Linked DNA regions of Drosophila melanogaster. The protein of the gene in region 1 interacts with the protein of each later gene in a biochemical or structural test. Each region holds a gene or a part of one and is shown on either strand. Other genes may lie near its edges.

Region 1 (5,151 bases):
TCTTGCCTTCGGGGATTTCAACCTTGTCCATGGCATACGAAAAGAAAGATATGTTTTCCGCATTTGCAGAACTGTTGCCCAAGGAAATCTCAAAAAAGTTTACATTAGCTTATGTTCAGTTGAAAGTAAACCTTACAATTAAATGATAAATAATCAAAATAAGTCGCATAATAATCAATATAAACGGATGACAGTTGTGATGATCCAACCGAGCCCCCGATTTATAAACATACTTTTGGCAACTTTTGCATTGTCAATGCCAGAAATCTGAGTCATCTTAATAGGGTACCGTAATTGGTCACACCAGAGATGATCAACATAAAATAAATGTTTATGATCGTACTTATTGCTACGTTTATAATGAACTGCAAAGAGAACCGGATCGAATTACAAATCTGGGCAAACAAAAGCTTGAGCCACCCACCAAAAAGTGGTTTGCGAAACGTTTGTGCCGTTCACTTTTCTGTGGGCAAACAATTACGAAAGTTTTGCATTAAAAATTAATAGAATGGAAAACTTAATTCCAACTGTTGCACTTGGAGCGTCAAAGCGCCAATTGCTCGCCACTTGGAAGTGTGATCCTTGGGACTGTGAACAATATATGAATAAAAACTGAGATATATGTATGCAATTTCAACTTGATTTGCAACTACCACCCCGAAGGTTAATTTGCACAACTTTTTGGCCAGCGATAAACGTATGTTTTAAGTATCTCGAATATGGCCAAGATATGGAGGGGAAGGTCTCTCCGGGTTTATCGACTATATTTACTATATATATGTACACACACACACATAAATGCCATGATAACGGGCCAATGTCAGAAAATCTGATAGTCGCAAAGAAGCGAAGTAAAGCGATTGCGTTTTACTATGTGTCACGATTGCGGGAAAGGAAGGAGGAAACGTGAGCTCCGTTTTGGTTTCCACCGCAACAGGTATTGTAAAACTTCGAGTGGCCAAAAATGTCATACATTCAACGAGGTGAAAAGCAGCCGCAATAAAATATATATAACTTAAACGCCACCCGACAATAACAGACCCCTCGAAGATCTCACTTTTTGTGCACAGAACGTGACAAAAAGACAGACGAACATAATAATGGAAAACCAGTTTATAGAAAGAAAGAAAGACCCACCGCCAGATAATAAAAAGTGCTCAAAACTTAAAAAAAAAAAGAAGTCACAAATGGCCAAAAGGCGAAATTGATATGCAAGGGGCGTCGAGTGAAACGGTTAGAAAAGCTTGATGGCATTTTTGGGGTATTGTTCGAAAGGGGTGAATGTGGATGGGGGATGGGGAAGGGAAAGACGTTTCTTTCCACTTTTGATTCGATGCTGCCGACTGACTAAATAAATCGCAATGCATAAAATGCTAACTAGGCCAAAGTCACAACAAAAGACGCGAAAATATTGAGCCAAAGACGTCAGCAGGATGGCGCATACAACGCAGCAGCCACAACAAGTCGCCCCACTGCCCACTGCCCCGCCCACCGCCCACTATCACTGTCACCCCCACAAAAACAGACACAATAGCAGTCGAAATAATAGTTAAAAAACATGCATGCTTGTATTACGAAGGATTAATCATTTGATCACTCACAGTTGAAAAATGTAAATAAAATAAATATGTTAGCACGAGTTATTTTGTTTACCCAATCTAATATTTAAAGGCCAAGCATCTAACTAAACCCTGCGAAACAGGTTAGCTATACAATCAGACCATATGTTGCAGACCTTTATCTATGGGATTCTACGTGTAAACAAACAAAGCTAATCAGATGATATATGTGTGTTAAACATTCAATTTCCAGTGCTGAGACAGTGAAAGCTCTCATTGAAATGGCTAATTATGCAGTGCTATTATCTCGACCGCAGCTGTATGAGTCTTTTTTGAAAATAGAAAATGCTTAAATGCAGCACGCACGCACACATGCAGCGGCAAAAGGGGCAGCACGGGGGATTCCCCTTTTGAGAGGGGGTCTTCCGGAAACAAGCCAAACATATAGAACACATAGAACGGTGGTGGAAGGAGAAGCAGAAGCAGAAGAGGAGGCAGAGCCAAAAGCAGAAGCGACATGGAAACTAGGTCAACTCTCGACGCCATTGGAGCAGGCGAGTGTCCGACCGAGAGCGACGACAATGACGCCCGTCACACCCAGGCGCAACTAGCTCAAGGCCAAATCCGCACTGCAGCGGGGGGTTTGGGCGAGTCCTTCAACCTTTCGTTGGGCGAATGGTGGGGTGGGCTGCCGTTTTTAGACCGTCCTTGGAAGGGATTTGGATGGGATCTAACCGCATCGCATCTCACTTACCCGCTGCGAAATGCAATGGTGTGGATTTGCGTCCCGCCGTATCCCTGGCGTTCACGGTCTGAGGCGTTATTAGCTTCTTCACCTTGGCGATCTCGCCCGTTTTGCAGGCCTCGAAGAGCTCCCTCAGCGGATCGTTGGCCATGACCGCATCGAGATTAACGCTCAAAATGGCCCGACTTCGGCTGCTGTTGGCCATTGTTGTGCTTGTTTGCTACGCTTTGGCACACACACGCCCCGAAAAAAATAGGCAACAAAAAACAAGCGCAATATTCAGTGGGCTTTCGGGTTTTCCACTCCCAGTCCAGTTCTCTCCTCCAGCAGTTGCTCTGCCCGTCCTACACAAGCCTCGCCGTTGTCCGTCGCTGGCTTGCCCGCATCCTGTATCCAGGTGTCCTGCCTATGCCGCAGGAGCAACAATTTGCCACTGGCTGCCACGCGACCAGCCCTCGTTTTTGCTTAATATTTAATGCACAATTGCAGACCCAAAATCAATAGGATTTCTTTGGTTCGACACAGCACGGTTGCAAGGATCGCGGTTGGCTACGATTCGTTTTTACTGAGACTGCGACCAACTCTGGGACTAGCTCCCTGGTACTTGGCCTCCAAAGCTCTGGGCACGGACGATTATTTCCGGATTAATTCACTGCTCCGCGAAATATTGCATTGTTTTGTGACCGAGTAAGAGTGACCGTTCGCGGGGTGGTCGAATATTCCAGGTTGAGTCAAGCGGTGTGACCAGGCGACGGGGCAAGCCATTCTGAAAAAATACTGAAGTCCTCGAATCACATAAGCTTTTCCATTAATTATATTTTTTAAATTTAATAGCTTATGTTCTCACAAGGTTTTACACAAATTTGTGCTTCAGTGTGCACTCACTATTTGGTGAAAAGCGAAAAGACGTTTGCATCTATATTGTGTTATAAGAAACAATTTTTTTTGTTAACCAAATAGACAATATTCAATTGGTGGTACAAAAATTAAGATCATCATTTTTATGAGCTTAAATTAGAATTCTTAAATTAGAAAAGGCCATGTAGGAATTTCAATTATCCTAATATAAGCACATAAGCCTATTACTAGGGAAAAAATCTCAAAAAAATTTTTTAAAATAATAGCAAGTACCTGTTACAACAACATGCAATCCCAATTGGCATTGCTATCGATAGCTTGAAAAACACCTGTTTGGCCATCCCTGGTTGGCTGTTGGTGCAATCGATTTTTGGCATCGACTGGATGCCCATGCCAACAACAATGTTTGCTTTTAAAATTTAGATTAAATCCGTTAAAAATCCGTGAAATCAAAACAAAAGCAGTGGAGCTGCTTCACAACAAGATTATCGTGCTTACTAGAAAGTGAAGAACCACGGAGTTACCGCGCCGGAAGTACAAAAGTAATCACCAAATCGGAAATCCGAAAAGTGAATCAGAATTTTTCTAGCTCACACACACACGCGCGCATACCCGCACGCCCAGCAAACACTCATGCAAGCGTATGGAACCAGTCGTGTTGTTGTTGTTGCTGTGAATAAGTGCAAGTGAAGAAGAAGCAGAAACTGTGATCGGAAAATTAAGCAAAAAAGAAAAACAGGCGAGGAAAAGTGGGGTTGGGGAAAAGCAGACGGAAAAGTGGAAAGGCGGAGTGCAGCTAACACGCTTCGCTGGCTGCGCGACAGCAGAACGCCAGTCAAGCGCCAAAAACCATTAGTAGAACCCCATTTCCAGCTGGAGCGGCACAAGAAAGCAATTTTCTGGTAGCAGAAACACCAAGAAACGAAAATAATTGGCCGATCTTTAGAGACTCGACTCGACGACAATTAGCCGGAATGGAGCTGAAAGTTTGGGTCGAGGGCATCCAGCGGATAGTTTGCGGCGTTACAGTGAACACCACATGTCAGGTATGTGAGCTACAGCAGAGGTCAAAATAATAGCACTATTATCTTGTTAAAGCATTTTACACTGCTGCAGTGCTGTTAATGTGACCCGAACTGTATGCGCTCTGTTTGCTAGTCAGTTTGCCCTAATTATCGTTTTATTTTCCACAGGATGTGGTTTTTGCTTTGGCCCATGCCACTGGAAAAGTGGGCAGATTCACTTTAATCGAAAGGTGGCGCAATAACGAACGCCACCTGGCCCCCAATGAGAATCCAATGAAGCTGCTGCTCAAATGGGGCGAGTATGCAAATGATGTGCAGTTTATATTACAACGTTCGGAAAACAAAACACAGCAGCAGCAGCAGCAACAACAACAGCAGCAGCAGAACAATAATAATAATAACAACTATGCTGTGATGACAACAACAAAAAAGCCGCTGGGGCCGAACAACAATAACAATAATAAGCCAGCGCCCACTTTGCTAAAGCAAAAGTCGAACGTCGAACTCAGCTACCGCACAAAGGAATTGAAAAAAAGTTTCGGGTGGGTGGTTTTTATATGCTAGTTAGTTTGGAAACTACCCCTTAAAGCGCTTACCTAGCCCTAATTGTTAATAGGCTAACAAACTGTGTTTAAATATGCACCTGTGCGGCTACCATCAACTGACAAAACTTGTCTCTTTCAGGGGCCACGATGCCAAGCAGTTTGACAACATTGGAATCGTCAAGGGAATTCCGCAGCAGCAGCAATTGCAGTCACAACAAACGGCCATGGGAGCACCGGCGAGTCCACCACAGGAGCAGCTGACACCGCAGGATAACAATAATGTAGCACCACTGGTGCCAAAGCATGAGAAATCGCTGTCCAATCCGCTGGACATGACCAGCACGGGTAGCAATCCACCCGCACCTACAAATGGCTACAATGACTTCTACAACAATAACAGCAGCAGTAATCAGCATATA
Region 2 (5,255 bases), on another chromosome or scaffold:
TTTTAACCACGGATTTCTGTGCTTCTTGTAGATTCGGAGCTTGTTGAATCACCCTACAATCACATCTACGGACGCCATTTACCGCTGCCAACGCGCGGCTACGTGCCCACGCCACGCATGTTCATCGGGGAATGGGACTGAGCGTAGTTCACACCGCACCTGGGCGGGATTTTAGCCGGATTTTGAGCGGCCAAGGCACAAAACACACCACAACACTTGCACATCCCGGCGTGAGAGGGAACGACGCCTACCGTGCAGAGCTAATTTAAGTCAACCGGCTGCACACAGCTTGAAATATTATTTACATTATATTAATTTAGCAAAATATTATGGTAAAATAATATTAGGCTAGGCATAAGCAGCAACAAAAAAAACAAGAGTAATCGCAAACCATTGTAACATTTAGTGCCGTGATTTTTCGCGCTTTTCCCCTAGCAATTTTGAGATTACGCACTTGAGCCAATTTTGTTTACCCTGTTGTACGAAATGAATGAATAGCCATTACATCACGAGTTCAGTTAAGCTTTTAAGTATATTGTAAATTTCTCTTGAGCAGCCGTCAACTCAACTGGCCTGTTTGCGTATTTACTTGATAAATGTTCTTAACTACGAATTTTTCTAGTAAAAACTCAAACAAGCGTTGTCTAACAGGCTGCTGTTTTTTATTTTATATCTGTAAAATTCTGTAATATTCTGTATTGTGTATGCAACGTAATAAAAATAATCTTTTAAAACAATCCGTTTAATTTTGGTCTTCTAAAATGAAAACTTTTTTCATTGCTTTAAACTAAAGATTTGAATTGCTCACTATACATGGCATTCCTGGTAATTACATGTAGTAATCGGGATTCCAATCTGGTGGGCGCATATGATCTGGATTGATTCCACCCTGTCCCGGCCTATTCGGGTTCAGGGGATTGAACGGGTCGAAGCGGGGCACGGGTCCCGGGCCCATATTTGGGCGTGATGGAAAGCTGAACAGGTTACCATGACCACCGCGACCCAGTGGATCGAGATCCCCGCGTCCAACGTCCGGAAATCCAAAAGGGCGAGGCTCGAATGCACTTGGAATGAAGGATCTAAACGAGGGGAAACGATTAACGAGTGTATAAAAAACTATCCACAAGTGTTCTTACCCGCCACGCCTTGGCTCGCCGATGCGCAAGGGATCTGGATCCGATCCAATGGGGCGTGGTGAGTTGGTCGTCTGCGTGGTAACTTCGCGCGAGTTTCCCGTGAATACAGGGTCTAGAAGCTCCCTACGGTAGCGTTCAACAATCTCTGAGGCACTCGGCATTATGGTGGTGATGCCTCCCTTGACCTCAGGTACCAGGGTCTCTGGTTCTACGCAGATGTTGGATACCTTCTTAGTGTTGATGTCCAACAGGTTGATCAGCAGGGAGCCCTCGGTGATGTGGCCCAGCAGCAAATACAGCATCTTATCGTGCACGTAGCGCAGCGAGTACTTGGTATCGTCATCATTCCAGCTGTCCGGCAGCAGCTCACTGCCCTCCTCCTCCGGCAAGGTTTTCTATGGAATTCCAGATGATTTCACTAATATGCGTGGCCATAATCATACTCACATCATCGCCAACGCCAACGCATCGGAAGTTGTAATGCTTGGTCAAAAGAAAATGGACGAGGGCAATCAAAAGGTCTGACTTCTTGGAGACATCAGCCTTAACGGTCTTGTACAGCAGATCCCAACCGTAAAAGAAATCGCCCGTCTTGGCAGTCGACCCACTTTCCATTGCGGCCACCGATAATCCTTTACAAAATCTGGGTGGGAGTAAACAGAACGAATGGAACGTTCTAATTTATGCTTAGTATATATAAATATGTTTACATTTCGTTTGCTTGGAGCGACGTCAGTTTCAATATCTGAAGCCCACTACAGAAAGTATAAATACTGAATAAATTTCCAAGACAACCTTTGCTTTAAAAGTTTTGTAAACAAAATAATGAGGAAAGAGCGAGAAGTTGTTTTTAGCAAGTTACCACCACATTCTCAATTTTTATTTTAAATCTTTTGGACGTACCTTAGCTCAATGTTTTTTAAAAGGATCTATATTGTTTAAATAATAATAAATTATAAATGACTTTGTTAATATTGCTGCATCTTTGTGAAAATAGAACTAGTGCTGGGATAATCGATATTATCGAGGTATCGGATATTTACTTTTCTGAGCCACTATCGATGGTTTTTTGTCGCTATCGATAGTGCTGTTCATTTTTGTTAAATCAACTGATGGTAAGACCGCGAAATATTCACAATGTGGAAAAGTTTTAATGTGTGACTCCAAGCTACGACTCGAGTTCTCGTCGGATAGCAGAACTCGGCGAGTTATCATGAAGTATGTACATAGCCACTGATATGCGCACATTTTCAGTAGTGGAGGACAATGGATTTCGCGATATACTGAAAGCATTTGATACGCGATATAAGCTTCCATCTCGTAGGACATTGAAAAATTTTGTAATGCTTTTTAATCCGAAGTACTCAGAGGAAAATACAGATCCTCTAGAATATTGGAAGGTAACTATACCTATTTGAGAAAAACATTTAAAATTGCTAATATTTTTATTATTTTAAAGTTATATCGAAAATTTGCTCTCCAAACATCGAAAATATCGAATGGCGCAACTATCGATAGTTTCCCATCACTATTTATTAAAACTGGAAAAAATTTATTGCCTTTTTCAATTTTCTAATATCTCAATGTGATTTATCGATATAGTTATCGATACAGATTTCATATATTAAATCTTTTAATATACAAAATTTTGTGAGAGTAGAACAAACATTAATAAAAATATATAAATAAATAATAAAAACATTAACTTAATACTAGCAACATAATTGTCAAGGTATTTCAAAGGATTCAGAATTTGCTTCGGGCTAGTTATAAATTTGCTTATATCGTAAATACCAGACATAAAAGATTTATTAAATTTCTAATGTGATCCATATGTTCATATTTTAAATATTTTGAAGAAGTCAAGAAAAGTAAACAGTAATTGTAACATAGAAACGATGAGCGACTATCAATTGACTTTGTAATAAAGAAATTCTTATATATAAATGTCTATTTATATATTTATATATTTAAAATAGTAATAGGAAATGCTTAGTACAACATCTACATGTTCATAATACGAAACCTTACGACTTACTAATATGTGTACAATTATAAAATTCCCTATTTCTGACTGATTATTTTGATCAACTATTCATTAAGATTTCCTCGTTCAAGTTATTCGAGTTACTTTAAGTTATTTTTACTGATATTTTGACATTGTGGAATTTATGTTTCCAAAATCTTACTTGATTTATTTTTAAAAGTTGTCTGAAGATCAGTTGTTGCGTTCTGAAAACTTGTTTTAATGATTTTATGTGAAGTCATGATTTACTAATTCTGTTAACTCGATATGTTTATACGGTCTCACATATATCGATTGCCTGGAACCAGTTCGCCAAATGCTTTAGATATCTCAAATATTTCTTATGCGGGAGAAATTAAAACGTTAAAAATATAAAGCAATTTGGAATATTGATTTGTTTAAAAAATTCTTGTTTTTCGTAAATAACACATATATGCTGTCTCTTTCTTAACGCGTTCGGATTCTTATGGACGGACGATGAGTGTAAAAGAGATGACTAGTAAGTTTAGGGTTGCCAAGGCTTGCAAAGACTAACGAATACGAAAACATTCTTTAAAATATAAAATATATTTATCAGCCTTTAAAACGATAGAAATGATTAAAAAAAATTTACAATAAATGTTGTGATATTAGAGTGATATTATAGCTAATTTAATGATCCTCTGATGCCAAAAAAAAAGAAATATTCTTTTTGATCAAAATTTTAGCCATGTTTTCCTAAGAAAATTTTAGAGTATCGGTCCGAACTTGTTATATAGACTTCGTAGAGCCTACTTCGGCTGGAACCCGAAGGGGCAGCCATATTGAATTTGATGCGGAATATTCAGCTGTCTTTCTCGGGTGAAAAAATCTGACACATTTTCGAGGAGACTTGCTGCGAAGCATTCAGTACAGGATCTCCCAATAATATTTTTTCCCGGTTTGCCCAACTAATAAATAATTGTAAACACGCGTCCCTTGCAGCCCTGTTGTTATTGTGTTGCCAAACATAAAAGTGATAAGCGCGCCGCTTTTTTCTGCGGCGGCAGCAGAAAATCGTGAATTTTTCGCGTTTTAGAACAAAAATTGGTGCGGATCGCAGTGCTCTAGTCCAAGAGGCCCGGATACGGAACAGAAGTCATGAGTAACAGTGCTCCGGGTAGCGAAAGTGGCCTGGCAAAGGTAGCGACGCCGTCGCCATCGCCACTGGCCAAATTGGATGCGGATTTCACGAGTGAGTACTGGGCATCAGCCAAGTGGAAAATTGCATATAAATTGCATATACCCGCAACGCAGGCTCCAAGTTCGAGATGCACCCCTCGCTTTCAGACGAGGAGCGCCGCTTCTACCTGAAGATGTACCCCAACGTAGATCTGGTGAACCAGCGAAAGGTGCACTGCACCGTGTGCAAGCTTCACCTGGGCACAGCACCCGCCGCCGAGAGCAACATCAAGATGCATCCCATACTGCGGGTGACGCACTGCGTCAAGTGCCACGATTTTTACAACAGCGGCGAGTTCTCCAAGGGCGAGGATGGCTCTGAGCTGTACTGCCGCTGGTGCGGACAGGGCGGCGAGGTATACTGCTGCTCCACTTGCCCCTACGTCTTCTGCAAGTCGTGCATCGTGAAGAACCTCTCCAAGGGCGTCATCGTGGACATCGAGCAAAACGAGAACTGGAACTGCTTCAGCTGCACCTCCAAGATCCTGTGGCCACTACGAGCCCAACACTGGGCGCTGGTCAACTATCTTCAGACGCAGAAAAGGTGCGGTTTTTAGTCCTACTTGTCTATGCTTATGGCATCTTTAAGTCTTTTCATTCATTCACTTATCATAGTGATTAATCTCTTTCTAAATTGACTTTTCTTATTTAATGTAATGCAGGGCCCTACAAACCCTTCAGCTTCCCGAGGTGGAGGCCCGACGTCAAATGCTTAAGGATAACAGCAATTGCTGTCGCTTGGCGAAGTCGAAAACCAGCAGCTTATCCGACTCGATGGAAAGCTTGGAGTCCAATGTCTCCAAACGCAGCCAGGGCAGCTCAGCGGGCTCGAGTAAACGGGGATCCATGCCAAAAACCATTCCTCCGGGACCACCATCCAAGCGCGCTAAAGC

What was found.
Region 2: of the proteins of Tnks (region 1) and PI31, one has a biochemical effect on the other in vitro, tested with the Drosophila melanogaster proteins (one study listed by BioGRID).

What each region holds. Positions count from the first base shown.
Region 1 is NT_033777.3:25,658,279-25,663,429, forward strand, and holds the start of Tnks (tankyrase), read right to left. Parts: upstream 3,009-5,151; 5' UTR 2,510-3,008; coding exon 2,314-2,509; intron 1-2,313. Other genes in the region: RASSF8 (Ras association domain family member 8), read left to right, coding at 4,137-4,208, 4,356-4,729, 4,872-5,151. UniProt on the Drosophila melanogaster protein: Stimulates proteasome activity, probably by ADP-ribosylation of PI31. Modulates 26S proteasome assembly.
Region 2 is NT_033778.4:11,966,701-11,971,955, forward strand, and holds PI31 (proteasome inhibitor 31 kDa), read right to left. Parts: upstream 3,416-5,255; 5' UTR 3,326-3,415; intron 2,151-3,325; exon of another isoform or gene 2,040-2,150; intron 1,955-2,039; exon of another isoform or gene 1,780-1,954; 5' UTR 1,752-1,779; coding exon 1,584-1,751; intron 1,532-1,583; coding exon 1,137-1,531; intron 1,080-1,136; coding exon 830-1,079; 3' UTR 643-829; downstream 1-642. Other genes in the region: ADD1 (ADD domain-containing protein 1), read left to right, coding at 4,282-4,375, 4,438-4,906, 5,025-5,255.